Linked DNA regions of Saccharomyces cerevisiae S288C. The gene in region 1 interacts genetically with each later gene. Each region holds a gene or a part of one and is shown in the gene's direction. Other genes may lie near its edges.

Region 1 (11,146 bases):
AGAAGTCAAACACATTTGATGTAATTCGCGAATGGCCGCAATTGATTTAATAATTTGGCCATCGGCGTTAGAGTAACTATTGTAGCCTTGTTTAAACAATCCCGCGTTGGGATTTTGTGGCAATCTAAGTGACATGGTTAATTGATGATTTTATTGCCCTTGAGGTTCAAGTTGTCTTGTCGGTATCTGTAAAGTGAGAACATCATCATGCTATACTATTTTCTTCACTTTTTTTTGCCACTAGCGGAGGTGATGAACATTTTCGAATACCGTTAATAATGACAAAAACACCATTAACTTGGCTTATATAAAATAAGCTATTGAAATAGTAAATGTGCTCGCAACTCTTTAATTATCTAAATCCGGCAGCTTCTTTATTGATTAATAATACAAAATGTTCGGACAAGTGATCATTAGATATCAACATGAATTCAATTGGTAACAATTTCGATGCTTACATTTTATGCTAGTATACACCACGCATATGTCTGTCAATGTACCTATTACAGAAGGAAATGTTCAAGAAGCAGTTCAGACAGTACCGAAGCAGAATTAAAAATCCATTATTTGAATATGATCTGATAGTCATATATATGAGCAATACAGGTCTTCACATTAAATGTATGAGAACTGCCGGAACCACTATTACATTGGTCACAATTAGGAATGAACCAATCGGCGTGTGTTTTATATCCCCCTTATATAAGTCTAAGAAGATCGATATTCAATCTTCATTAATAAAGCTTTTTGACCTCTACCTATGAGCAATAAACCATATCCATCAATAGTGGTCAAGCCGTAAGAATGTTTTTACCGAGAATAGAAGTAAACTTTTCTTATTGTATATAAGAAAAGCATATAAACACGCGCCCAGAGAACATATTCAGTATGCCCTAGCTTGGAAACACATCAGTAAAATACTACGCGCCTAGTATAATGACTTCTATATCCAAAATTTTTAAGTTAACCTTTCAAGTAAAAGATCTTTGCCTTATACTACTGTCTGAACAACTCGTATAAATTAATGTATGATATGAACATTCCCATTGTTACGATAGATGTCCTAATGAGGATCAACTATAATCTATCGAATAGTATTCATATTACTAATATATTATCATGTACGATGTACCAAGATGGCATGAAGATTGAGAAAACAGTCATCAGATTTAATAGATGCTGAAATGCCAGGACTGATAGTGTAACAGAATAATGAATGATATCATATAAATTGGGGAAACAATAATGACAATATTATGTGAAAATATCAATTCTCTTTTGTGGATTACAAGATCCCCTGGAGAACTTCTAGTATGTCCTGTATACCCGGTGCTATATCCTTTAATAACCATGGAATCCGCAAATATTTGATGTAAAGTTTGTTTTTCTTCCCCAACATCCTTTGTATGCTTCAGTAGCTCAGTAGGAAGAGCGTCAGTCTCATAATCTGAAGGTCGAGAGTTCGAACCTCCCCTGGAGCACATTTTCTTTTTTTGTGAATTAAACCTCGAAGCTCAACATTCATGTTTTGAGATAAAAAAAGGTACTTATTACTTGTGTAAAAGAAAGTTTATAATGATGATCTTATTTAAGTTTATAGTAGGACTTTCTATGCATGTCTTGTAGAACTATTTATGCTGGACTCGCCATTAATTAGCTCCAGTGAAAGTACATATCTTCTTTCTTGGACATTATTATCTCTAGTAATAGTGATATAAGGATCGGCATTCAACAGGTGATCTGGTATTTGCGGCAATCCAGATTCTGGTCCTGCGTTTTTTTTCAGTTCCATAAACCTTTCAACGCCAATCGGCAGCAAATCAGCCGGTAAATGACGTTGTAGATCGCACATATCGAATGAATTGATGTAAAAATTGACTATATCAAAATAAGCTTCATTTACGGATTTCTCGTCTGTTTCAAATAAAGAATACCTTTTACTTGACCAATTCTTATTATCTAGTAATTCATATGCTATTTTCAAAATGGCCAATGCAATGGAATGTTGGGGTATGACTAAAATAGTTTCTAGCTTCAAAGCATCATAAGCAATTACCCAAGCCAGATTGCACAACTTATAATCAAAGGATAGCTCCCTACCAATTTTTATAACATATTCATCAATATGAACGTAATTGTTGACTCTATAATCGAATGAGCATGACTCTAATATCCGAAGTTCTATTTGAAATACCCTTTTTTTAAAATTTTCCAAAATGTCCGTATTGATTTTAACCACATTCCTCAATCGTAATGACAAAGTACATATATCATTTGTTTTTTTAATTGTCTCAACTTCTTTACAGCCCAAAGTCAGGCAGCTTGTCGCTACAGTGTAGCAAACCTCGGTCTCGAAGCGATTAAAGAGGTGGTATCTTTGGTAAAAGTATACTGCTGTTTCTAAAGTCTTCCGTGGAAATTTCAGCTGAACACACAAGTCACTTAGAAATTTGAACACGGCAAGTTTTTTCTGGTTGTAATTTCGATAGTCCGATATTGTATTCTTTTGGGCTCTTTGAATTTGCCTTTTAGACAGAAACGGTCTCGAAAAAAAAAGCTGGGATTCAAACGTGCTAGGCATATCAAAGTACGTAATTTTCTTAGTTTTGCTGGCTCTATATCTCCTCTCGCTCTATAGATACAGATATATATATATATATATATATATCTATGTGTATAAAGACGGCTTTCAGGACAGTACTTGTTTGGATTTTTGATCATCGCGGATTTTCGCAATGCAAGTATAAAGAGAGCATTACCCGCCACACAGTGATTCTTCAGCAAGTTGTACCGAAAAGGACCATTTAGGTACGTGGGATCGCAAAGGTTCCCAAACGGTGTGCATCAAGCCGTAGACTTCATGAGTGCTTTCGGTGCAGCAAAAAGATAAGGACAAAAAATACTGAAGGATGCGAGGTTCGAACTCGCGCGGACAACCGTCCAACAGATCTTAAGTCTGCCGCCTTAGACCACTCGGCCAACCCTCCATCTTATTTAAAAATCCTAGGAAATAGATGTTATATAAGTCATACATCATTGAAAACATCAAATACCGTTCCCTGCGTTGTTCTACAGAAAAGCGCATTAGAGTAGGTCATACCCTTTAAAAAATGATTTTGTAAATGCCAGAAAGTAAACAAATATGCATTTCGCCTAGCTCCCAATGTAAATAGCCATAAAAAAGGATAAAATGCCAGATTTAGAGTCAGTTCTCGTTCTTCTTCTTCTCTGTGTTCAATTGTTCAATTGCATTGTTAATCACTGAAATTCTATGTTTCAAATTGGAATGGCAGACTGAACTGAGACCTTCCTTACTTTCTCCTCTATCAAACCTAAATATTCAATCATAACCTTATTTTTTCACTTCCTTTTTCTTACTTTTTTTTTTTTTTTTTTTTTGTATTTTGGAAGGAAAGCAGGGGGGACTTACCATAAGAAAAGCGACTCTAAAAAAGTGTATTTTCTTCCAAAGTTCAGTAAAGACAGCTGGGAAGTATAGTAACAGAGGAGAGAAAGCATAAGGAGACCTCTTGCTGCAGTTCACAACCAAAAATAGCATATCTTTACTATTGTCGCTAACCATTGCGAAACGAGCTAAAGCAACAGCAAACGAAATCCCTAGGTCGAAATGTCATCAAAACCTGATACTGGTTCGGAAATTTCTGGCCCTCAGCGACAGGAAGAACAAGAACAACAGATAGAGCAGAGCTCACCTACGGAAGCAAACGATAGAAGCATTCATGATGAGGTACCAAAAGTCAAGAAGCGTCACGAACAAAATAGTGGTCACAAATCAAGAAGGAATAGCGCATATAGTTATTACAGCCCACGGTCGCTTTCTATGACCAAAAGCAGGGAGAGTATCACTCCAAATGGTATGGATGATGTAAGTATTTCGAACGTGGAACATCCAAGGCCGACAGAACCGAAAATCAAAAGGGGTCCATATTTACTGAAGAAAACATTGAGCAGTCTTTCAATGACGAGCGCGAATAGTACTCATGATGATAATAAAGACCACGGTTACGCTTTGAATTCATCCAAGACGCACAACTACACATCTACTCATAACCATCATGACGGTCATCATGATCATCATCATGTTCAGTTTTTTCCCAATAGGAAGCCATCATTAGCGGAAACCCTATTCAAAAGGTTTTCAGGGTCAAACAGTCACGATGGCAATAAGTCAGGAAAGGAAAGTAAAGTTGCTAACCTTTCCCTTTCAACGGTAAATCCTGCACCTGCTAATAGGAAACCTTCTAAAGACTCCACTTTATCTAATCACTTGGCTGATAACGTGCCAAGCACTTTACGAAGGAAAGTGTCCTCATTGGTACGTGGTTCTTCCGTCCATGATATAAATAATGGTATTGCAGATAAACAGATTAGACCAAAGGCTGTTGCGCAATCAGAAAATACATTACATTCATCCGATGTTCCCAATAGCAAACGCTCGCACAGAAAAAGCTTTCTGCTAGGCTCCACATCTTCTTCAAGCAGTAGAAGAGGTTCAAATGTCAGTTCAATGACTAACAGTGACAGTGCAAGTATGGCGACGTCGGGTAGTCATGTTCTCCAACATAACGTATCTAATGTTTCTCCAACTACTAAAAGTAAGGACAGCGTTAACAGCGAATCCGCCGATCACACTAATAATAAATCCGAGAAAGTGACTCCAGAATATAATGAGAACATTCCGGAAAATTCTAACTCTGACAACAAACGCGAAGCCACAACGCCTACTATAGAAACACCCATTTCATGTAAACCATCCCTTTTCAGGCTAGATACAAACCTTGAGGATGTTACTGATATTACAAAGACGGTGCCACCCACCGCTGTCAATTCTACACTAAATTCTACACACGGGACTGAGACTGCCTCACCCAAAACGGTGATCATGCCTGAAGGTCCTAGGAAGTCGGTGTCAATGGCTGATCTCTCCGTCGCTGCCGCAGCACCTAATGGTGAATTCACATCAACTTCCAATGATAGATCACAATGGGTAGCACCTCAAAGCTGGGATGTGGAAACCAAAAGGAAAAAAACAAAACCTAAAGGGAGATCGAAATCAAGAAGGTCAAGTATAGATGCTGATGAACTTGATCCCATGTCACCGGGGCCACCTTCAAAAAAAGACTCTCGTCATCATCACGATCGAAAGGATAACGAATCAATGGTCACTGCGGGTGACAGTAACTCAAGTTTTGTTGATATATGTAAAGAAAACGTTCCGAATGATAGCAAGACCGCACTCGATACTAAATCTGTGAACCGCTTAAAAAGTAATTTGGCTATGAGTCCCCCAAGTATACGATATGCTCCATCAAATTTAGATGGGGACTACGACACGTCTTCCACTTCCTCATCTTTACCGTCCTCATCTATTAGTTCAGAAGATACATCTTCCTGCAGCGATTCCTCTTCGTACACTAACGCGTATATGGAGGCCAACCGAGAGCAGGATAATAAAACACCGATCCTGAATAAAACGAAATCGTATACCAAGAAATTTACATCCTCTTCGGTAAATATGAATTCACCAGATGGTGCCCAGAGTTCTGGATTATTACTACAAGATGAGAAGGACGATGAGGTCGAGTGCCAACTGGAACATTACTATAAAGATTTCAGTGATTTAGATCCAAAGAGGCACTATGCTATTCGTATATTCAATACTGATGACACTTTTACGACTCTCTCATGTACTCCAGCGACTACCGTCGAAGAGATAATACCTGCACTTAAAAGAAAATTTAACATTACAGCGCAAGGGAATTTTCAAATTTCCCTGAAGGTGGGAAAGTTGTCAAAAATTTTGAGACCAACTTCGAAACCTATTTTAATTGAAAGAAAACTTTTACTTTTGAATGGTTATCGAAAGTCAGACCCACTTCATATTATGGGTATAGAGGATTTAAGTTTTGTTTTTAAGTTTCTTTTCCATCCTGTCACACCTTCTCACTTTACTCCTGAACAAGAACAAAGAATAATGAGAAGCGAATTTGTTCACGTAGATTTAAGGAATATGGATCTGACTACACCTCCCATCATTTTTTACCAGCATACGTCAGAAATAGAAAGTTTAGACGTTTCTAATAACGCAAATATATTCCTACCTCTGGAGTTCATTGAAAGCTCGATTAAATTATTAAGTTTGAGAATGGTTAATATTAGAGCATCTAAATTTCCTTCCAATATCACTAAGGCGTATAAACTAGTATCTTTGGAATTACAGAGAAACTTCATAAGAAAAGTACCGAACTCAATCATGAAACTGAGTAATTTAACGATATTAAACCTTCAATGTAATGAGCTTGAAAGCCTACCGGCTGGATTTGTTGAACTGAAAAATCTGCAATTGCTAGACTTGTCTTCAAACAAGTTCATGCACTACCCAGAAGTTATTAACTACTGCACCAATCTTTTACAAATAGACCTATCATATAATAAAATCCAAAGCTTACCACAGTCCACTAAGTACCTAGTAAAGCTTGCGAAGATGAACCTTTCTCATAACAAACTAAATTTTATAGGCGACTTATCGGAAATGACAGATTTGAGGACGCTGAACCTAAGATATAACAGAATATCATCAATTAAGACAAATGCGTCTAACTTGCAGAACCTTTTTTTAACAGATAATAGAATTTCGAACTTTGAAGACACTTTGCCGAAACTAAGAGCCCTTGAAATTCAAGAGAATCCAATCACTTCTATATCCTTCAAAGATTTTTATCCAAAAAACATGACAAGTTTGACGTTGAACAAGGCACAGTTATCGAGTATTCCTGGAGAATTACTCACCAAACTATCTTTCCTCGAGAAACTTGAACTTAATCAGAATAATTTGACTAGACTGCCACAGGAGATATCCAAGTTGACTAAATTAGTTTTCCTTTCAGTGGCGAGAAACAAACTAGAGTATATTCCACCCGAGCTATCTCAACTGAAAAGTTTGAGGACATTAGATCTACATTCTAACAACATAAGGGACTTTGTTGACGGTATGGAAAACCTTGAACTAACATCGCTAAATATTTCATCGAATGCATTCGGTAACTCTAGCTTAGAAAATTCTTTTTACCATAACATGTCATATGGGTCAAAGTTATCTAAAAGCCTGATGTTTTTTATTGCTGCAGACAATCAATTTGATGATGCTATGTGGCCTCTTTTCAATTGCTTTGTCAATCTGAAAGTGCTAAATCTTTCTTACAACAATTTTTCAGATGTATCGCACATGAAACTTGAGAGCATTACCGAATTGTACCTCTCCGGTAATAAGCTCACGACATTGTCGGGTGATACAGTTTTGAAATGGAGCTCTTTAAAGACTTTAATGTTGAATAGTAACCAAATGTTATCTCTGCCTGCAGAATTATCAAATCTCTCACAGCTAAGTGTATTTGATGTTGGAGCAAATCAATTAAAGTATAATATATCAAACTATCATTACGATTGGAACTGGAGGAATAATAAAGAACTAAAATATTTGAATTTTTCAGGAAATCGAAGGTTTGAAATAAAGTCATTTATAAGTCACGATATTGATGCTGATTTGTCAGATCTGACAGTATTACCTCAGTTAAAGGTACTAGGTTTAATGGACGTAACTTTAAATACTACCAAAGTACCGGATGAAAATGTCAATTTCCGTTTAAGGACAACTGCATCAATAATAAATGGGATGCGCTACGGTGTTGCTGATACATTAGGTCAAAGAGACTATGTGTCATCTCGTGATGTTACCTTTGAAAGATTCCGCGGAAATGACGACGAATGCTTACTATGTCTTCATGATAGTAAAAACCAAAATGCAGATTATGGCCACAATATATCAAGAATTGTTAGAGATATTTACGATAAAATACTGATCAGACAACTGGAAAGGTATGGAGACGAAACAGATGATAATATAAAAACTGCACTTCGTTTCAGTTTTTTGCAACTGAATAAGGAGATTAACGGAATGCTAAATTCTGTTGATAATGGTGCCGATGTTGCCAATCTTTCATATGCAGACTTGCTAAGTGGCGCTTGCTCTACTGTGATATATATCAGAGGGAAGAAACTCTTCGCTGCAAATTTAGGTGACTGTATGGCTATTTTATCCAAAAACAATGGTGACTACCAAACGCTAACCAAACAACATCTCCCAACAAAGCGGGAAGAATACGAGAGGATCAGAATATCTGGCGGGTATGTCAACAATGGAAAATTAGATGGTGTTGTAGATGTGTCTAGAGCAGTGGGTTTTTTTGATTTGCTTCCCCACATTCATGCTTCTCCCGACATATCTGTCGTGACATTAACAAAAGCAGACGAGATGCTTATTGTAGCAACGCATAAGTTATGGGAATACATGGACGTGGATACAGTTTGTGATATCGCGCGTGAGAATAGTACTGATCCACTCCGTGCCGCAGCTGAGTTGAAGGATCATGCCATGGCTTACGGCTGTACAGAGAATATTACAATTTTGTGCCTTGCTCTTTACGAGAACATTCAGCAACAAAATCGGTTCACTTTAAATAAAAACTCTTTAATGACTAGAAGAAGTACTTTCGAGGATACTACATTAAGAAGACTTCAACCTGAGATTTCTCCGCCAACAGGTAACCTAGCAATGGTCTTCACTGATATCAAAAGCTCAACCTTCTTATGGGAGCTATTCCCTAACGCAATGAGGACCGCAATAAAAACTCACAATGACATTATGCGTCGTCAACTACGAATTTACGGTGGTTACGAAGTAAAGACAGAAGGAGACGCCTTTATGGTGGCATTTCCTACGCCAACTAGTGGTCTGACATGGTGCTTAAGTGTTCAATTAAAACTCTTGGATGCACAATGGCCGGAGGAAATTACCTCAGTTCAAGACGGCTGCCAAGTTACGGATAGAAATGGTAACATTATCTATCAAGGCCTATCAGTTAGAATGGGTATTCATTGGGGCTGCCCAGTTCCAGAGCTTGATTTAGTGACTCAAAGAATGGACTATTTGGGGCCGATGGTCAATAAGGCAGCAAGGGTCCAGGGCGTCGCTGACGGTGGTCAGATTGCAATGAGTAGTGATTTTTACTCTGAATTCAACAAGATAATGAAGTATCATGAGCGAGTAGTGAAGGGCAAGGAATCTCTCAAGGAAGTTTATGGTGAAGAAATTATCGGAGAGGTTCTTGAAAGAGAAATTGCCATGCTGGAAAGTATTGGTTGGGCATTTTTTGACTTTGGCGAGCATAAGCTAAAGGGACTCGAAACCAAAGAACTCGTTACTATTGCGTATCCTAAGATTCTTGCTTCCAGACACGAATTTGCATCTGAAGATGAGCAGTCAAAATTAATCAATGAAACGATGTTGTTTCGTTTAAGAGTCATTTCAAACAGACTGGAATCTATAATGTCAGCTTTAAGCGGCGGATTTATTGAACTAGACTCTCGGACGGAGGGAAGTTATATTAAATTTAACCCTAAAGTTGAAAATGGTATTATGCAATCGATTTCTGAGAAGGATGCGTTGTTATTTTTTGATCATGTAATTACTAGAATCGAATCCAGTGTGGCATTATTACATTTACGACAACAGAGGTGTTCAGGACTGGAAATTTGCAGAAACGATAAAACATCTGCTCGAAGCAATATTTTCAATGTTGTTGACGAACTTTTACAAATGGTTAAGAACGCAAAGGATTTATCAACTTGAGTTCTGTTCGTAAATTATGTACCACCCTGTTACTCGTTTCATATTCACGCTAGAGAAGTACCTCAGCTTACTAGATCCATTCACACATTGCAAGTATACTAAAACTATATAAAATTTAAGTACGTAAACTCTTTACTTATTATTATCTTCAATGTCATCACGTACTTAATTATGTTAAATATAGATTGTGTATAAATAAGAAATAGGATCTGTTTTGAAAAATTGGCCAAAAAGGCAGATTTATTAAGCCTATAGAGATAAGGTTCTTGCCATTTTTCATACATTTACTGTTTTCTCTTGAATGACTATAATATTGCCAAAATTGCCTCGAATATGTTGTTTCATCTCCTCTCATATTTGGCTTTCTAAGTCTTTTAGTTGTATTGGTGATTGCTCCAATTCTGAATGATTACTATGCTGCTGACTAGGCGTAACCAATCCAACTTCTCCTTCATTAGGATCAACCAAGCCCTCAAAAAAGGTGTCTCTAAGCTCTCTCCATCTTGTTGTCCATGTCCCCAAAAATATTAGTATTAAAGATGATAAAATTTGAAGAAAAAACCAAGAAAAAGAAGGAAATTTCCGAGTATAGAGGAACACCACAATAAAATTGATGGCATGTATAGTGATAGCAAAATCCCATGCGAGTTTACTCCGTCCAACGATAACAGTTAAGAAAAAAACACATATTAATGAATCCAGAAGCCATAACAGTGAGATTGATAAACCGTATGCGTTCGTAAAGTCGATATTCTCCCAAGAAAACAGCCATTCCTTGATATTGAGATCATATCCCGCTAGCTTCGCCCAACAATAAAAAAGAACGATCGCTGTGGTGTAATAAAAAATCTGTAAAAGAACAATTTGAAGTCCAATCTTACTTGGAGAGAGAGAATCTTGTTTGAAGATCTGGGAAGGTTTCAACTCATTCGGCACTCGCAAATACCTTCTTATCGAAACCATGTTACAGTAATTCAAATGCCTATTTTTTATCTCACTTCTATGTGTACCCTTCCTTAGCCTTCCTAAAGATCATCTCTTAACATGAAGTTACAGAATATTACCGTGAATATCGCGAGCTACGAATATTTTGGGTGGGGAGATATTTATTCATGATTAGCCTTGTCCTATAGTGTTACAATGGAGCAAATTGTTCACCGTTAGTATTTTGAATACGACAATATTAAATGAATAATAGCGCCTATCTCTTGTTACGTTTGGCGATTTGTATACCTTGTTAAATAAACTGATTAAAAGCCGGGTTATGGCCGTACACAAGTTATTAGAAAGCAAATACACTTCCTTATATCTGGTCACCTAGTTAATAAAAGGAAGTCTTTAATTTTGGCAAAAACCACTATATATATTAGTCAACAACTGAAATATTACCAGAATTTGTCTCCTAAATGTCGTTCAGCGGAAAAAAATTTAGGTCTA
Region 2 (3,735 bases), on another chromosome or scaffold:
GTACTACTAAATTCTACAATATAAACAAGTTGCCAAAGCCTGCTGGTTGGCAAAACCATATCGGTTGATTATACTGTAATCAGCCCACGTTGTCTTTGTATTTTCCACTTTTTTTATTTATACTATTTAAAGAAACAGAATAAATTATAACTCTTTTTTTTACATATCACATTTATATTTACTCCATTGCGTTACAAATATGAACGCTTCGACAACAACGCCAAGGAAACCGGGATAACCCAACTGATATTTTCTACCATACACTGAACGAAATTGCAGAACCAAAAAATAACAAAAAGTTCCCAAAAGGAATGCCAGAAAAAAATGGGAGGCAGGTCCACCTAACAAAAATTTAATCATATGCCATACTTCTTGAACAGTGAATGAGTCATCTCCACACCTAAAAATGTGGCCGCATTGGCTGGGAAAGATCTTAGTAAAGCAGGACCTAAACCAGGGAAAAATCCCTTGATACCACCTCTTTGTAGATAAATTTCCTTTGTGGCGGAAAGCATATTCTGCCTCGTGGAGGAAGCCTGCAATTTTGTCTTTATAGTGTCTATGGGGAAAACAGCTAGCCACATCGACATACCAGCAATACCACCAGCAAGACACACGTTCAAGATATTGACCGGTTCATCTTTGCCCGCATCTTGACGAGGTTGCCTACTATTCAAGTAATTTTTTGAAATTTCATAAGATGCAAAATATAGAGCTGAGCCAGGCCCATCTCTTGCTAAAGTGGCTAATGAACCTTTAAATAAAGAAGCTATGCCACCTTCTTTAACAATGGTTTTAGCCGCCTGAATGAAAGAGCCCTTAGAAGATGTTTGCAGGACAACCTTTACTCTTTCCGTTGGCGCAGTCACTAAAGTGGTAGGAATAGCGCTGATAAATCCTGCTGCAGCCATTTGTCCCATAGTTAACTCGTTACTGCCTCCTTGCTTGTTATTAAAAGTAACCAGTTTCTTACCCACATCGTAACCCCAGAAAGAAACAGCGAATATGGGAGTAACACCTAATAAGGGCGGGATAACACCTTTATAGAACCCCTTTACGGAATTGGTAAATAATGTGCCCTTTACTTGAGTTTTTGCTTCTTTTATAATATTTGTAATGGCATGTACCGTGGAATTCGCTTGTCCATTTTGACATCTCACTTTAATCAAATCGAAGGGATGACCCGTAAACACCGCACATACCCCGCCAACTCCACCGGCCACAAATGATTTGATATTTTCGCGTACAGGGTTTGATTTTATAGGTGGACGAGACTTGGTCAAGCTCCCACTCTCTTCTTTCAATAATGAAGATTCTGATAATGAAGTGTCTGAAGACATTACTGACACGATGACGTTTGTGGAGGATAAGAAAGTCGTACAATACGTAGAATCCAAGGAAAACCTGGAATAAAAACACACATAGAGCGCAATTGAATATCGGCTATTTCTACAGTACAAGCGTCTGCCTATATATGCGCTTGAAATATATCTATTTCGACTAAAGGAATTATACCATCATGCATCTTTACTCTTAAATCTCCATTTGTCCACCGACTTATTGCGGCAAGTGGAGATCCAGTCACGCCGGATGACTGGGTGTAGATAAATAGCCGCCCAACTGATCCCTGCATAAAGCTTATATGCGGATATTAGGAGCAGTAACCCGATGACATTAAGCGTGTAGCCACAAGGAACTTCACCATTACTCATAGCAGAAAAAGCAGTGACCAAAAAATGGCAGGAATGACTCTTTTCTGTTTCCCCTCATATACACTGAAACATCTCGATATAAAGCATGCCCTTTATTGTACCATCAATGCAATGTAACGGCAAACGAGGCTAGGAATATGTATTACCCGCACTGAATTGCTTCTTCACTTAGCACACCCTTGATCGCTATGTTCTACGCTGCTACCCGTTCGGTAGGGAGTGGCGGGGAAATTCACATTGGCACAATGTAAACCCGTAGGAAAAAAAAAAAGCACGAAGAAAAAAAAAGAAACCAAAAATATTTACTACATGTAAGTCTATGGACATTTGACAACAAACTTTTTCAACTCATCGCAAGATTATGAATTTTTCACGGCTTTTCAGGTTTTTTCCTCCTTTTGTTTTACATTGAAAGGTTTATATTTTATGTCTTTGTATGGTTCTCTTAATTTGGATTCTTTCTTGTACGGTGTCTCTATTATCATCTGTCTTGTTCTTTCTTGCAATGCTTAATTAACTGCTGCCACAATTGACTTCGGTTTGGCTATTTCACGATTGAACAGGTAAACAAAATTTTCCCTTTTTAGAACGACATGCAGGGAAATAAATCAACTATAAGAGAGTATAAGATAGTAGTTGTCGGTGGAGGTGGCGTTGGTAAATCTGCTTTAACAATTCAATTCATTCAATCATACTTTGTGGACGAATATGACCCTACTATCGAAGATTCTTACAGAAAACAAGTTGTCATCGATGACAAAGTATCCATTTTGGACATTCTAGATACTGCTGGACAAGAAGAGTATTCTGCGATGAGAGAACAGTACATGAGGACTGGGGAAGGTTTCCTACTGGTCTATTCCGTCACCTCTAGAAATTCCTTTGATGAGTTACTGTCTTATTATCAGCAAATTCAAAGAGTAAAAGATTCTGACTACATTCCTGTAGTCGTGGTAGGTAACAAATTGGACCTTGAAAATGAAAGACAAGTCTCTTATGAAGACGGGTTACGCCTGGCCAAGCAGTTGAATGCACCCTTTCTAGAAACGTCTGCGAAACAAGCCATCAACGTAGACGAGGCCTTTTATAGCCTTATTCGTTTGGTAAGGGACGACGGTGGGAAATACAATAGCATGAATCGTCAACTGGATAATACGAATGAAATAAGAGATTCGGAGCTAACCTCATCTGCAACAGCGGATAGAGAAAAAAAGAACAACGGGTCTTATGTACTCGATAATTCTTTGACCAATGCTGGCACTGGCTCCAGTTCAAAGTCAGCCGTTAACCATAACGGTGAAACTACTAAACGAACTGATGAAAAGAATTACGTTAATCAAAACAATAACAATGAAGGAAATACCAAGTACTCCAGTAACGGCAACGGAAATCGAAGTGATATTAGTCGTGGTAATCAAAATAATGCCTTAAATTCGAGAAGTAAACAGTCTGCTGAGCCACAAAAAAATTCAAGCGCCAACGCTAGAAAAGAATCTAGTGGTGGTTGTTGTATAATTTGTTGAAAATGATCCTGCTCTCTTGATATGACATGGTTTTGATTGCAAGTCTATTCTTACTTGTTCAATTGGTTTCACCAGCATCTTTTTGTATCCATTTTCCTATGCTGTGTATCTAGTAAAAGAGTTGCTTGCCACCAAACATTAATACTAATGGTTAATCTGCCACCTTTTGTAAGCTTTCTATAATGTACAATTGTAATATGTTCTTTTATTCTCGTACAAAGTATATATACTATACACATACAAGCATGCATGCAAGCACGCCGGCAAACCCTTCCTCAATTTATAAAATGTAAACAAACGAAATGTAAAATCAAACTAGCAACAATAAACTCGGCAAAAGCTCTGTTTTTAGAAATGCCTGGAAAACTATTACACAATTGTAACCGCAAACTCATCAATAGGACGAATTGTCCCACACAAATAATGAATCCCGCTAAAAACGCATTGAATGGAAAATTATCACGGATCAAGATAATGAATGTACACTGGATCACCCCTAA
Region 3 (8,302 bases), on another chromosome or scaffold:
GAACATTCTTTTCCAATTTCATAATTTTGCCAATATTTACTTTTTAATACTGTTGATTCTAGGTGCTTTTCAAATATTTGGTGTGACAAATCCAGGTTTTGCATCCGTTCCCCTAATTGTCATCGTAATTATCACTGCTATTAAGGATGGTATCGAAGATTCCAGAAGGACTGTATTGGATTTAGAAGTTAATAATACAAGAACACATATCTTAAGCGGGGTGAAGAATGAAAATGTTGCTGTTGATAACGTTTCCTTATGGAGGCGTTTCAAGAAAGCGAATACAAGGGCATTGATTAAAATTTTTGAGTATTTTTCAGAAAACCTCACTGCTGCTGGTAGAGAAAAGAAGTTACAGAAAAAAAGGGAAGAATTACGAAGGAAGAGGAACTCGAGAAGCTTTGGGCCACGTGGGTCTCTGGATTCAATTGGTAGTTACAGAATGTCTGCCGACTTTGGTCGTCCCTCTTTGGATTATGAGAACCTGAATCAAACAATGTCACAGGCTAACAGGTATAACGATGGTGAAAATTTAGTTGATCGAACGCTACAGCCAAACCCTGAATGTAGGTTTGCCAAGGATTACTGGAAAAATGTTAAAGTTGGTGATATTGTTCGTGTTCACAATAACGATGAAATTCCTGCTGATATGATCTTATTATCGACATCAGATGTTGATGGCGCTTGTTATGTGGAAACCAAAAATTTGGATGGTGAAACAAATCTAAAGGTCCGTCAATCATTAAAATGTAGCAAGATTATTAAGAGTTCAAGGGATATTACCAGGACGAAGTTTTGGGTTGAAAGTGAAGGCCCACATGCCAACTTGTATTCTTATCAAGGTAATTTCAAATGGCAAGATACACAAAATGGAAACATCAGAAATGAGCCTGTAAATATCAATAACTTATTATTGAGAGGTTGTACCTTGAGAAACACTAAGTGGGCCATGGGTATGGTTATTTTTACTGGTGACGATACCAAGATTATGATAAACGCTGGTGTCACTCCAACCAAAAAATCCAGAATTTCAAGAGAGTTGAATTTTTCTGTGATTTTGAATTTTGTACTATTGTTTATCCTATGTTTCACTGCTGGTATTGTTAACGGTGTTTATTATAAACAGAAACCTCGATCGAGAGATTATTTTGAATTTGGTACCATTGGAGGTTCTGCCTCAACTAACGGTTTTGTTTCTTTTTGGGTGGCGGTTATTCTTTATCAGTCATTGGTTCCGATCTCTTTATATATTTCTGTGGAAATTATTAAGACAGCACAGGCTATTTTCATTTACACTGATGTTTTGTTGTATAATGCCAAGCTAGACTATCCATGTACACCAAAGTCGTGGAACATCTCCGATGATTTGGGTCAAATTGAGTATATTTTTTCAGATAAAACAGGCACCTTGACACAAAATGTGATGGAATTCAAAAAATGTACTATTAACGGTGTGTCTTATGGACGTGCCTATACGGAGGCACTAGCAGGCCTGAGGAAGAGACAAGGTGTTGATGTCGAATCGGAAGGTCGTCGCGAAAAGGAAGAGATAGCAAAAGATAGGGAAACAATGATCGACGAATTAAGATCAATGAGTGATAATACACAGTTTTGTCCGGAGGATTTAACTTTTGTATCTAAGGAAATTGTGGAAGACTTGAAAGGATCCAGTGGCGACCATCAACAAAAGTGCTGTGAACACTTTTTGCTGGCGCTCGCATTATGTCATTCTGTCCTTGTGGAGCCAAATAAAGATGATCCTAAAAAACTGGACATCAAGGCTCAATCACCTGATGAGTCTGCCTTAGTTTCCACCGCCAGACAATTAGGGTACAGTTTCGTTGGTAGTTCAAAAAGTGGATTGATAGTAGAGATCCAGGGTGTTCAAAAGGAGTTCCAAGTTCTGAACGTACTTGAATTCAATTCGTCGAGAAAAAGGATGAGTTGCATTATCAAGATCCCTGGCTCTACACCAAAGGATGAACCTAAAGCACTGTTAATATGTAAAGGTGCGGATTCCGTTATCTATTCAAGATTAGATCGCACTCAAAACGACGCTACTTTGTTGGAAAAGACGGCCCTCCATTTGGAAGAATATGCCACAGAAGGTTTAAGAACATTATGTTTGGCTCAAAGAGAGCTCACGTGGTCCGAGTATGAACGTTGGGTTAAGACTTATGATGTGGCCGCTGCATCCGTTACTAATAGGGAGGAAGAGTTGGACAAAGTTACTGACGTTATTGAACGTGAGCTTATTTTGCTTGGTGGTACGGCCATTGAGGATCGTTTACAAGATGGTGTTCCTGATTCGATTGCCCTCTTGGCCGAGGCCGGTATTAAGTTATGGGTCCTAACGGGTGATAAAGTGGAAACTGCCATTAACATTGGTTTTTCCTGCAATGTTTTGAACAATGATATGGAATTATTGGTTGTGAAGGCTTCCGGCGAAGATGTAGAAGAATTTGGTAGTGACCCTATTCAAGTGGTTAACAATTTGGTGACAAAATACTTAAGGGAAAAATTTGGCATGAGTGGATCCGAGGAGGAGTTAAAAGAAGCTAAAAGAGAGCATGGTTTGCCACAGGGAAATTTTGCTGTCATTATCGATGGCGATGCGCTAAAAGTTGCTTTGAATGGTGAAGAAATGAGACGCAAGTTCTTGCTACTGTGTAAGAATTGTAAAGCTGTTTTGTGTTGCAGAGTTTCTCCAGCACAAAAGGCTGCAGTGGTCAAGTTGGTAAAAAAGACCTTAGACGTTATGACCTTGGCCATTGGTGATGGTTCGAATGATGTAGCCATGATTCAATCGGCGGACGTTGGTGTTGGTATCGCGGGTGAAGAAGGCAGACAAGCTGTCATGTGTTCTGATTATGCCATCGGGCAGTTCAGATATGTGACAAGACTGGTATTGGTGCATGGTAAATGGTGTTATAAGAGACTGGCAGAGATGATCCCACAGTTTTTCTACAAGAACGTTATTTTTACGCTATCCCTGTTCTGGTATGGTATTTACAATAATTTCGATGGGTCGTATTTGTTTGAGTATACGTACTTGACATTCTACAATCTTGCATTCACATCCGTACCTGTTATTTTACTAGCAGTACTCGACCAAGATGTTTCCGACACCGTTTCGATGCTGGTGCCACAGTTGTACCGTGTGGGTATCCTAAGAAAAGAATGGAACCAAACCAAATTTCTTTGGTACATGTTGGATGGTGTATACCAATCTGTGATATGCTTCTTTTTCCCCTATTTGGCGTACCATAAAAACATGGTTGTAACTGAAAATGGCCTTGGACTAGACCACCGTTACTTTGTCGGTGTCTTCGTTACAGCAATTGCAGTCACTTCATGTAACTTTTACGTCTTCATGGAACAGTATAGATGGGACTGGTTCTGTGGCCTATTCATATGTCTATCACTGGCCGTGTTTTACGGCTGGACGGGTATATGGACAAGCTCGTCGTCAAGTAACGAATTTTACAAGGGTGCGGCGCGTGTATTCGCACAACCTGCCTATTGGGCAGTACTTTTCGTTGGCGTGCTGTTCTGCCTACTGCCAAGATTCACCATTGACTGTATCAGAAAGATATTCTATCCGAAAGATATAGAGATCGTTAGAGAAATGTGGTTACGCGGTGATTTTGACCTCTACCCACAAGGCTACGACCCTACGGACCCTAGCAGGCCCAGAATAAACGAAATACGTCCCCTTACAGATTTCAAAGAGCCCATTTCACTGGACACTCATTTTGATGGTGTCAGCCACTCACAAGAGACCATAGTCACAGAGGAAATACCAATGAGTATACTCAATGGTGAGCAAGGCTCGCGCAAGGGGTACCGTGTCTCTACCACTCTGGAACGCCGTGACCAGCTCAGCCCCGTTACAACAACGAACAACTTGCCTAGAAGATCAATGGCCAGTGCCCGCGGAAATAAGCTCAGAACTTCGCTGGATCGCACAAGAGAAGAGATGCTTGCCAACCACCAACTGGACACAAGATACTCCGTGGAAAGAGCACGTGCCTCGCTGGATCTGCCGGGTATCAATCATGCAGAGACGCTGCTCAGCCAGCGCAGCAGGGACCGTTAATGATTACAATTTTTTTCTTCCTTTGTACTATGTATACCAATGTGATATGATATAGATTTCATATAGGATGTGATGATGTGTATCACCCGGCACGGCTCTACCCCGCCCTGTGGGGTGTGGAGAAAACGCCGCGCAGAGCCTTGAGTAGGAAGGGGCTGGGTTCTCCCCTTCCTGCCGGGGTCCGCCCGGCGCCAAGAGTAAGAGAGCGAAGCCGGAGACGTAATATGAAAAAAATTTTGAGGGGAAAGGGCGTCCGCAAGGGCAAGGGCAAGGGGAAGGGGTGGCGTTTTGTGCTTCAAGGAATTATATTTCGTTGTTTTCCGCACTATGGCGGCATTGTGGCAAGTAACTACTTTACGGAGAAAGACTAGAAAATGGTTACAACTGCCACTATTACCGCTTCGCATTCTCTTGTCTTACAGGTCCCTTGAATTGGCATTTACGTTTACATCCGATCCGGTTTTTCACCAAAGAGAAAGGAAAGGAAAGGTAAAAATAGCAAACCGAAAAAGAAAACAGTATTTTCTCTCTGTTTAGGATTATTACCACTACTTACTGAAGAGAAGTTTTTAACGTTTATCGTTTGTGTTGAGGTAGAAGTACAAACGCGTGTGTGAGTTGTGTATTTGAAATTATTATCCTTCTACGCATATCGGGAAAAAGTTAACGGAAAAAACAAGAAGAAAACCTCCCCCCTCCTCCTCCCGCCATACAGAAGGCAAAAGAAGTTGGTCTGTTAGGAAGAAAATAGCCAAGTAATAATACGTTTGGCCAGTTGTATTTTTTTTTTGTTTCGCTAAGTCTCTTGCTTACAGAAACTCTTTGCCCACCACATATTTCATCGTTTTTCCTTTCTGTTCATCATTAACCTCCATTTCCCAATTTTTTCCAATTTTCAATTTTTTTCACTATTTGTTTCTTTGTTGGGCGTTTAAAAAGTATTTGCTTCTACAAAGTGAACAACATCGTTGTAATTTTTTTTTTTTAATTTGAAGAATAGCTACAAAAACAGACTACAATGGAAATCAAGCCAGTTGAGGTTATTGATGGCGTTCCGGTTTTTAAGCCGTCTATGATGGAGTTTGCAAATTTCCAATATTTCATTGATGAAATTACTAAATTCGGAATAGAAAATGGTATTGTCAAAGTCATTCCTCCCAAAGAATGGCTGGAGCTTTTAGAAGGCTCACCTCCTGCGGAAAGTTTAAAGACTATACAACTAGACTCCCCGATTCAACAACAAGCCAAGCGATGGGACAAACATGAAAACGGTGTATTTAGCATCGAAAACGAGTATGACAATAAGTCGTACAATTTAACACAGTGGAAGAACTTGGCCGAAAGTCTAGACTCTCGAATAAGTCAAGGTGATTTTAATGATAAAACTTTAAAGGAAAATTGCCGCGTAGATAGTCAGCAGGATTGTTATGATTTGGCACAGTTACAAATTTTAGAAAGTGATTTTTGGAAAACCATCGCTTTTTCGAAACCTTTTTATGCAGTGGACGAAAACTCTTCAATTTTCCCCTATGATTTAACTTTATGGAATTTGAATAATTTGCCAGATTCTATAAACTCAAGTAACAGACGGTTACTTACTGGTCAGTCTAAATGCATTTTTCCATGGCATTTGGACGAACAGAATAAATGCTCTATAAACTACTTGCATTTCGGTGCTCCCAAACAATGGTATTCCATACCGTCCGCAAACACAGACCAATTTTTGAAAATTTTATCAAAGGAACCATCAAGTAATAAGGAAAATTGTCCAGCTTTTATTAGACATCAAAACATCATAACTTCTCCCGATTTCTTGCGAAAAAATAATATAAAATTTAATAGAGTGGTGCAGTTCCAACATGAATTCATCATTACTTTCCCTTATTGCATGTACTCCGGATTCAATTATGGTTACAATTTTGGCGAATCTATTGAGTTCATATTAGATCAGCAAGCTGTCGTTAGAAAGCAACCTTTAAAATGCGGCTGTGGAAACAAGAAGGAAGAGCGAAAATCTGGTCCGTTTTCAAATTTATCTTATGATTCTAATGAGTCGGAGCAACGAGGCTCCATTACTGATAATGATAACGATTTATTTCAAAAAGTTCGAAGTTTTGATGAATTACTAAACCATTCCTCTCAAGAGTTACAAAATTTAGAAGACAATAAGAACCCCTTGTTCTCCAATATTAATATGAACAGACCGCAAAGTAGTTCTCTTCGGTCTACTACCCCTAATGGTGTAAACCAGTTCCTGAACATGAATCAAACTACCATAAGCAGAATTTCTTCCCCGTTGTTATCAAGGATGATGGACTTATCAAATATTGTGGAACCCACTTTGGATGATCCGGGTTCCAAGTTCAAAAGGAAAGTTTTAACTCCGCAATTACCGCAGATGAATATTCCGTCTAATTCTAGTAATTTTGGCACCCCTTCTCTAACTAATACAAACTCCTTACTATCTAATATAACGGCTACATCAACCAACCCATCGACAACTACAAATGGCAGCCAAAACCACAATAATGTTAACGCCAATGGCATTAACACCTCTGCAGCCGCATCTATCAATAATAACATTAGCAGTACCAATAATAGCGCTAATAATAGTAGTAGTAATAATAACGTTTCCACTGTGCCTTCTTCAATGATGCATTCGTCCACTTTAAATGGGACTTCAGGTCTAGGCGGCGATAACGATGACAATATGTTAGCTTTAAGTTTAGCGACACTGGCTAACAGCGCTACTGCGTCACCAAGATTGACGTTACCGCCGCTGTCGTCACCAATGAATCCGAACGGCCACACCTCATATAATGGCAATATGATGAACAACAACAGTGGTAATGGTAGCAACGGTAGCAACAGCTATTCTAACGGTGTGACTACGGCTGCTGCCACAACTACATCAGCGCCTCACAATCTATCCATAGTGTCCCCTAATCCAACATACAGTCCGAATCCCCTATCTCTTTATTTGACCAACTCCAAAAATCCATTAAATTCAGGTCTTGCACCCTTATCACCTTCAACATCTAACATCCCATTTCTCAAGAGGAATAATGTGGTTACATTAAATATTTCAAGAGAAGCTTCAAAGAGCCCTATATCTTCTTTTGTAAATGACTATAGATCTCCGTTGGGTGTAAGCAATCCACTCATGTATTCTTCCACAATCAACGATTATTCAAACGGTACTGGAATTCGCCAAAATAGTAATAATATTAATCCCTTAGATGCAGGTCCATCTTTTTCTCCTCTCCACAAAAAACCCAAAATACTCAACGGTAATGATAATAGCAATCTGGACAGTAATAATTTTGATTACAGTTTCACGGGTAACAAGCAAGAATCTAATCCATCAATCTTGAACAATAATACTAATAATAATGATAACTATCGTACATCTTCAATGAACAATAACGGCAACAATTATCAAGCGCATTCTTCTAAGTTCGGTGAAAATGAGGTCATTATGTCAGATCATGGTAAGATTTACATTTGTCGGGAATGTAATAGACAGTTTTCCTCTGGTCACCATCTAACAAGACATAAAAAGTCAGTTCATTCCGGTGAGAAACCCCATTCTTGCCCAAGATGCGGTAAAAGATTCAAGAGAAGAGACCATGTTCTGCAACATTTAAATAAAAAAATTCCATGCACTCAAGAAATGGAAAATACTAAATTAGCTGAATCATAGGTCAAGAAAATGATATACAAAATGGGTTCAAAAAAAATTTTTATCGAATATTTTCCTGTAATAATATTGTTTCTTTTAGAAAAATTTTGGTTTTCTATAATATATTTATTCTCCATGTTTTAATTTTCTCAGCTATTAATGTTCAACTTATTCCTTATAAATTTGTCATTCATTTTTCATATATATCGTTAATATATAATCTTTGCCTGTTCTGAATCCTTTTTCAACGACCAAAACTTTAAAAAAAATAAGTAAAAATCTTACATACATCGTAAATGAAAATACTTAGGATTGTAAATCATCAATTATACTAAATAGACTTTTCAAAACGTTCCTTTTTATGTTCCAATCATAGTTCAAGACCCCTTCACCAGAACCTAATTTTGTATTCTTCAGTCCATCTCCGTACGCAATTCGAACGAAATCACTTTGTAAGCCACCTGGCACAGAGACAACTTCACCATTCAAATTATTTGCAGCTAAATCACGTTCTTTGACTA
Region 4 (7,592 bases), on another chromosome or scaffold:
CCTATGATAGAACTTATCGAAGATGAAGTTTATGAGATTGAGGACGCCATTTTGAAGATGCATCAGTCAGATGATTCTAGTGATAGCGATTCTAGCGATAGTGATTCCGATTCGGGCGCTAGCGATGAGGATGCATTTCCGTTCGATGTCTATTCTAAAAAGACGTCCTACTCTAGTGCAAAATCTAGTGTGAGTTCAAGAAGTATGAGCACTTCTGAAGCGTCATTCAATGCAAATTTGATAGGTTGGAAGAGAAAAGGAGATATGTTGAGGCGGATTGGTGAATGCCGTAAAAGAGTGATGAGTATACTAAGATTGCTAGGATCCAAGGCTGATGTGATAAAAGGATTTGCCAAAAGGTATAATGAGCAATGGGAAGCTTCGCCACAATCTGAAATCGCAATGTATTTGGGTGATATTCAAGATCATATTGTAACCATGGTCTCATCGCTAAACCATTATGAAAAACTGTTAAGTAGATCGCATTCAAATTATCTGGCACAAATCAACATTGATATGACGAAGGTTAATAATGACATGAACGACGTTTTGGGAAAAATTACCATACTGGGTACTATTGTTCTGCCAATGAATGTGATTACGGGTCTGTGGGGTATGAATGTTATCGTGCCCGGACAATACAGGGATTCGTTGACATGGTTTATAGGCATTGTGCTTTTTATGTGTATGCTAGCATGTTCTGCATATATGTATACTAAGAGAAGATTCGGGTTTTAATTTAAGTGTTTTTTCGCGCATTAGCGCTTGCTTTTCCTTCGATTTTAATTATCAGCCTAAATTATTGTTGTCTTTCCCGAAGGATAGAATTGTAAATTATCAGCGCCGTATCGTATACTTGTGGTGATAAATATCTTTAATCTATTTATGTTTTTTTTTTTTTTTTTTTTCGTGTCTGGTTTCTACATGTTTGTGAACGTTCTGCATATCTTTATGTACGTACACAGTATGTTAGTATGCACTTATACTATACAAAGAATAAGGGAGGTGAGGTTAATCAATAAGGTTAACGTAAAACATTTATTATTTTCATCACCAAACTGTTGGAAGTTTTGAATTGGTTAATTATCAAGGATTTCATTGTTAGCCAAATTTTCCTTGGCGAGATCTTGTTTCTCTTTCTGGAGTTGCTGTTTTTGTTCTTTTTTGTCCTTGTTTATTTGTTTTTGCTTTTCTGAATCAATTTGTGGTTTCAAATCGTTCTCCAAATTCTTTACTTCTTGTTGCTTTGCGACTTCATTATTGAACTTTTCTTTAGGTACTTTAGCTTGTTGTGGTTGCTTATTGTTAGTCGCATCAGCTGCACCGCCGGCTGCAATATTGGTATGATCGCTTGCACTTGCAGAAACATCAGAAGAATGGCTTTCTAGCTTGATCTCAGTTTCTTTATTCAGATCAGAATAGGCAACTTTTATAACGAAATAAACGCCACATAACAGTATAATGTATACTATAATCTTTTTCATAGGGGTAGTCAGATAACCGCCCCTTCTTCTGGAATTATATTTGCTTCCTGTTTTATAACGAGGTAAAAGATCTTTTTTCCTTCTGATATCGCCCTGCATATTTTCTATAATTATGAATCACTTTAGTTTGATTTATATTTGCTCAGAATACCCTAGCTTTATCTATATAGTACTACTACTTTGGAGGGGAGGAACGTATGTTGGAAGGCAATAGCACTCTGGTAAAGTGCTAACTCTTAATGTTAATGACGAAATCACTTTTTTTGCCTTTCTGAAAGATTGGAAGACTGTCACTGAGAAATTCGCTATTCTTTTCTTTTTCTTCGTGTTTTTTTTTGTTAGAATACTGCACAGCTTGCTATCCCGCTGCACAGCTTGCTATCCCGCTGCACAACATGAAATTGCTCACGTCGTGCCAAATTACATATAGGTGCTTACCCTGTTTATATTTTTTGCCTTCATAGCGGAGTTTTTAAGGGTAGCCCTTATGTTTTTAGCGTTCATTTGAACGAATGGCTAACGCTAAACGGAGAAGAGAGGAAAACAAGGCCGCTGGCGTTATTGCGCGTAAAAACAGGAGATAAGCACTGTTTAACATACATTTCATTGAAAGCTTAAAGCCGCAAAAGATGAAGGGTTTTCAAAATTTTCATCTCTTGCAGTATAAGGATGCAGTGAATCTATCTACAGACAGTTGATAAAAACGTCTACCTTGCCTAGTGTACCCAGCTGCTGTCAACTTCTTTCCTTAGCGCGTAAAGAGCTATGTTTTCGATAAAAGATGCAACATAAATGCTACGATGTAAGGCACCCAGGACCTCTGAAGGCAAAGAAGTTGTGAAATTTGAAAAATAATCGCTCAAAAAGGAATAATTGTCAAGCGTAACGATTTTTTTGATTTTCCGAAATCAGGGGAGGGGAAAAGAAAAGGGGAAGGGGTCTCCTCACAGGTATTGTGAGCTCCAAGCAATCATTTTGCCAGCACTAGGAAATAATAAAATGAAAGAAAAAAACATACATAGAAAGTGCCGCTCCGGGGCATTTTGAGCGCGGCAAAAAAAGCCCGAAGATCCGTTCCTCGAAGGAACGGCAACCGCACACCAAGAAAAAGGGAAAAAGGTGGGGTTGGCTGTAAAGTACGAGCGCGGGGACGGATCCGTAACAATTTCTATGTGGGGCCAGCAGCCGGCTGCTGGTGGGTACTGTTGTACGAAGCGGTTGGTAGCGATGACAGTGGCCAGGGCTGCTAGGCATGGTGCCGTGAAAACCCAGCGCAAATGTCAGGCTGCAGGAACCGGCTTTCTCCCACGAGGTTTCACTGCTGGCGGCGTACTGGTCATTTTTAGAACCTGAAAACCCGAGCTAGAACTAGGACTCTTGAGCAATAAGGTTTGCGCATTGCTATTCTCCGGATAAACCAAACCCACCCTTTTAAGAGCGTTTAACAAAGGTCTCTTATCTATCAAAAGTATTATGGCTATTTCTGGGATTCCGCTTGCGGGCCTTTCTACCCTCTTGATGCTACACATGTTTCCCTTAGATGCATGAGCATACCTGTAGGTACTTAAATTTTATTTTTATGCATCTTATTTCTGTCTAAATTTGTATATAACAAGCAACTGCAGTTCTGTGATGTGTTTTTCGCAACTGGTCAACAGGCTTAAGAATTTTTCCGTCTCTTTCCGTTTTATTTCCAGAGAATTAACATTTATAGAGAAAAGAATTAAAACGTGAAATTTCCTTTTTGAATATTTAACGCCTTTATCAGTTCGGCTTTTTTTTCTTTTCTTCTTATTAAAAACAATATAATGCTAGTCTTCGGACCTAATAGTAGTTTCGTTCGTCACGCAAACAAGAAACAAGAAGATTCGTCTATAATGAACGAGCCAAACGGATTGATGGACCCGGTATTGAGCACAACCAACGTTTCTGCTACTTCTTCTAATGACAATTCTGCGAACAATAGCATATCTTCGCCGGAATATACCTTTGGTCAATTCTCAATGGATTCTCCGCATAGAACGGACGCCACTAATACTCCAATTTTAACAGCGACAACTAATACGACTGCTAATAATAGTTTAATGAATTTAAAGGATACCGCCAGTTTAGCTACCAACTGGAAGTGGAAAAATTCCAATAACGCACAGTTCGTGAATGACGGTGAGAAACAAAGCAGTAATGCTAATGGTAAGAAAAATGGTGGTGATAAGATATATAGTTCAGTAGCCACCCCTCAAGCTTTAAATGACGAATTGAAAAACTTGGAGCAACTAGAAAAGGTATTTTCTCCAATGAATCCTATCAATGACAGTCATTTTAATGAAAATATAGAATTATCGCCACACCAACATGCAACTTCTCCCAAGACAAACCTTCTTGAGGCAGAACCTTCAATATATTCCAATTTGTTTCTAGATGCTAGGTTACCAAACAACGCCAACAGTACAACAGGATTGAACGACAATGATTATAATCTAGACGATACCAATAATGATAATACTAATAGCATGCAATCAATCTTAGAGGATTTTGTATCTTCAGAAGAAGCATTGAAGTTCATGCCGGACGCTGGTCGCGACGCAAGAAGATACAGCGAGGTGGTTACCTCTTCCTTTCCTTCTATGACGGATTCTAGAAATTCGATCTCTCATTCGATAGAGTTTTGGAATCTCAATCACAAAAATAGTAGCAACAGTAAACCCACTCAACAAATTATCCCTGAAGGTACTGCCACTACTGAGAGGCGTGGATCAACCATTTCACCTACTACCACTATAAACAACTCTAATCCAAACTTCAAATTATTAGATCATGACGTTTCTCAAGCTCTGAGCGGTTATAGTATGGATTTTTCTAAGGACTCTGGTATAACAAAGCCAAAAAGCATTTCCTCTTCTTTAAATCGCATCTCCCATAGCAGTAGCACCACAAGGCAACAGCGTGCCTCTTTGCCCTTAATTCATGATATTGAATCTTTTGCAAATGATTCGGTGATGGCAAATCCTCTGTCTGATTCCGCATCATTTCTTTCAGAAGAAAATGAAGACGATGCTTTTGGTGCGCTAAATTACAATAGCTTAGATGCAACCACAATGTCGGCATTCGACAATAACGTAGACCCCTTCAACATTCTCAAGTCATCTCCGGCTCAGGATCAACAGTTTATCAAACCCTCTATGATGTTGTCGGATAATGCCTCTGCTGCCGCTAAATTGGCGACTTCTGGTGTTGATAATATCACACCTACACCAGCTTTCCAAAGAAGAAGCTATGATATCTCGATGAACTCTTCGTTCAAAATACTTCCTACTAGTCAAGCTCACCATGCAGCTCAACATCATCAACAACAACCTACTAAACAGGCAACGGTAAGCCCAAACACAAGAAGAAGAAAGTCGTCAAGTGTTACTTTAAGTCCAACTATTTCTCATAACAACAACAATGGTAAGGTTCCTGTCCAACCTCGGAAAAGGAAATCTATTACTACCATTGACCCCAACAACTACGATAAAAATAAACCTTTCAAGTGTAAAGACTGTGAGAAGGCATTCAGACGCAGTGAGCACTTGAAAAGGCATATAAGATCCGTTCATTCAACGGAACGCCCTTTTGCTTGTATGTTCTGTGAGAAAAAATTCAGTAGAAGTGACAATTTATCACAACATCTAAAAACTCACAAAAAGCACGGTGATTTTTGAAAAAAATAAGGTCAAAAGCAAATAAAAGCAAGACAAGCTACGGTATGACAAGTTTTCGGAGAAATAATATTCTTTCTTCCTCAGTTTACAAAACAAGTAGGTTGGTCATTTCATTCGGATATATTCTAAGGAATGAAATGAACATTGGTGTTTGTTTCTAATATAATCTTAAGATATTTTAAATTGTTTCTTTCCTTTTTTGCCTTTCTAACTATTACTTCAACTTCTTTTCCGTATATTTCCGTTTTTTCCATTTGGCAGATTAAAAAAATTGTGCACGTTCTGGTTTTAACGTATAGACTTCTAATATATTTCTCCATACTTGGTATTTTTTATTCACTTTTTTTATACATATTTGGTTTTTTTATACAATATCAAAAATCAATAATAATTAATTTAATAACAAGAATATGTTGCTGTGATGACTCTTAATATACAATTGGGAAGCATTCAAGGATTGGTACGACGTTTGCTTTCTGATAATTAAACGCTTGGCGTTTAATCTTTTTTGCCGATTAATAATATTATTATTACCCTCTTATTTATTAGCATTGTCTTCCGTACTAAAAGGAGTAGGGAAAAAGGCGAAGTAGAGTGACACGTCCATTACCCAGCGCTTCATAAGAATCCATCAGGTATATTAAATTGTGATGGGAGAACAAAACAAATTGTACTATGATGTCGAGAAATTGGTGAATTCTTTGCAGGAAAGTTTTGACCTGGATTGCGCGCAAAGTGTATCACTTTTCACCAGTAAATCAAGGAGCAATGAGGCTTGGTTGGAAGAGCTAGAGAATAAATTCAAGTTAAAAGATGATGTTGAACTTGATGATGTGGAAAATTTAAGAGCCGAAATTGACATGAAGTTAAATATGTTGGAGGATAAAGTAAGCTACTATGAAAGACTTTACAAAGAACTCGAAGAGTTCCAGAATGAAATAAAAATTAAAACAGTTGTGAATAACAGAAGACAATCGCGAACTCCAAAATGAGCTATCAAAAACGATAGATCGATTAGGATGACTTTGAAATGACTCCGCAGTGGACTGGCCGTTAATTTCAAGCGTGAGTAAAATAGTGCATGACAAAAGATGAGCTAGGCTTTTGTAAAAATATCTTACGTTGTAAAATTTTAGAAATCATTATTTCCTTCATATCATTTTGTCATTGACCTTCAGAAGAAAAGAGCCGACCAATAATATAAATAAATAAATAAAAATAATATTCCATTATTTCTAAACAGATTCAATACTCATTAAAAAACTATATCAATTAATTTGAATTAACTTATAAAGTGTTAGTGGTACGGAAAGTTTCCAAAGACTTGGTGATCTTAGCACCCATGGTCTTTTCACCTTCTCTAACCCAGACTCTTGGGTCGAAGAACTTCTTGTTTGGCTTTTCTGGACCTTCTGGGTTACCGACTGGGGACATTATGTAGTCCTTCTTGTTCAAGACGTAGTCTCTGATACCAGTCAAGTAAGCGTATTGACAGTCAGTGTCCAAGTTGACCTTGACAACACCGTTGTCAATACCAGTGTGGAATTCTTGGACAGTAGAACCGGAACCACCGTGGAAGACCAAGAACAATGGCTTTTCTTCCTTGCAACCAACTTGTTCTCTGGTGTACTTTTGGTGTTCAGCCAAGATTTCTGGTCTCAAAGCGATGTCACCAGCGTACAAACCGTGACAGTTACCGAAAGCAGCAGCAATGGAGAAGTTTGGAGAGATTGGGTGCAAAGCCTTGTAGACGTTGTAAACTTGTTCTGGCTTGGTGTACAAGTCTTCCTTGTCAGCGTTTTCGTTGTTAACACCATCTTCTTCACCACCGGTAATACCGATTTCCATTTCTAACCATTGGTCCATAGCGGCCATTCTCTTGAAGTACTTGACACAAGTAGAGATGTTTTCTTCATCGGTTTCTTCAGACAAATCCAACATGTGGGAGGAGAATAATGGTTCACCGTGTTCCTTGAAGTAAGCTTCATCAGCTTCCAACATACCATCGAACCATGGCAACAACTTCTTGGCACAGTGGTCAGAGTGTAAGACAACTGGGATACCGTAAGCTGGAGCAATGGATCTGATGTAGTGGGCAGCGGCAATAGCACCCTTGATGGAAGCATTTTGACCTTCGTTAGAGATACCCTTACCAGCGAAGTAAGCAGCACCACCGTTAGAGGTTTGCAAAATGATTGGGGACTTGCTGTCTCTAGCAGCTTCTAAAGCAGCGACGGCAGTAGAAGAAGAGGTGACGTTAATAGCTGGAATAGCGAACTTGTGTTCCTTAGCGTAAGTGAATAAGTTGTGGACATCTTCACCAACGATGACACCGGTCTTTCTCTTTAAGATTTGTTCAACACCCATTTTGAATATGTATTACTTGGTTATGGTTATATATGACAAA

The links.
Region 2: of CYR1 (region 1) and RAS1, a mutation in one rescues a mutant of the other (synthetic rescue), as found in Saccharomyces cerevisiae (one study listed by BioGRID).
Region 3: of CYR1 (region 1) and GIS1, extra expression of one is lethal in a mutant of the other (dosage lethality), as found in Saccharomyces cerevisiae (one study listed by BioGRID).
Region 4: of CYR1 (region 1) and MSN4, a mutation in one rescues a mutant of the other (synthetic rescue), as found in Saccharomyces cerevisiae (one study listed by BioGRID).

The regions. Positions count from the first base shown.
Region 1 is NC_001142.9:421,529-432,674, forward strand, and holds CYR1 (adenylate cyclase), read left to right. Parts: upstream 1-3,628; coding exon 3,629-9,709; downstream 9,710-11,146. Other genes in the region: chaperonin-containing T-complex subunit CCT8, read right to left, coding at 1-135; YJL007C (uncharacterized protein), read right to left, coding at 1,170-1,484; CTK2 (Ctk2p), read right to left, coding at 1,610-2,581; SYS1 (Sys1p), read right to left, coding at 10,061-10,672; COX16 (Cox16p), read left to right, coding at 11,116-11,146.
Region 2 is NC_001147.6:512,939-516,673, forward strand, and holds RAS1 (Ras family GTPase RAS1), read left to right. Parts: upstream 1-2,305; coding exon 2,306-3,235; downstream 3,236-3,735. Other genes in the region: alpha-1,2-mannosyltransferase KTR1, read left to right, coding at 1-68; CRC1 (carnitine:acyl carnitine antiporter), read right to left, coding at 357-1,340; OST2 (dolichyl-diphosphooligosaccharide-protein glycotransferase), read right to left, coding at 3,511-3,735. UniProt on the Saccharomyces cerevisiae protein: The S.cerevisiae Ras proteins modulate the activity of the adenylate cyclase catalytic subunit and therefore affect the biosynthesis of cyclic-AMP.
Region 3 is NC_001136.10:632,022-640,323, forward strand, and holds GIS1 (histone demethylase GIS1), read left to right. Parts: upstream 1-5,117; coding exon 5,118-7,802; downstream 7,803-8,302. Other genes in the region: aminophospholipid-translocating P4-type ATPase DNF2, read left to right, coding at 1-4,099; mismatch repair ATPase MSH6, read right to left, coding at 8,088-8,302. UniProt on the Saccharomyces cerevisiae protein: Transcription factor involved in the regulation of gene expression upon nutrient starvation. Recognizes and binds to the post-diauxic-shift element 5'-T[AT]AGGGAT-3' in the promoter region.
Region 4 is NC_001143.9:319,936-327,527, forward strand, and holds MSN4 (stress-responsive transcriptional activator MSN4), read left to right. Parts: upstream 1-3,292; coding exon 3,293-5,185; downstream 5,186-7,592. Other genes in the region: putative Mg(2+) transporter MNR2, read left to right, coding at 1-738; YKL063C (uncharacterized protein), read right to left, coding at 1,080-1,583; BLI1 (Bli1p), read left to right, coding at 5,836-6,177; fructose-bisphosphate aldolase FBA1, read right to left, coding at 6,473-7,552. UniProt on the Saccharomyces cerevisiae protein: Positive transcriptional factor that acts as a component of the stress responsive system. Recognizes and binds to the stress response element (STRE) which is involved in the response to various forms of stress (heat, oxidative, osmotic, etc.).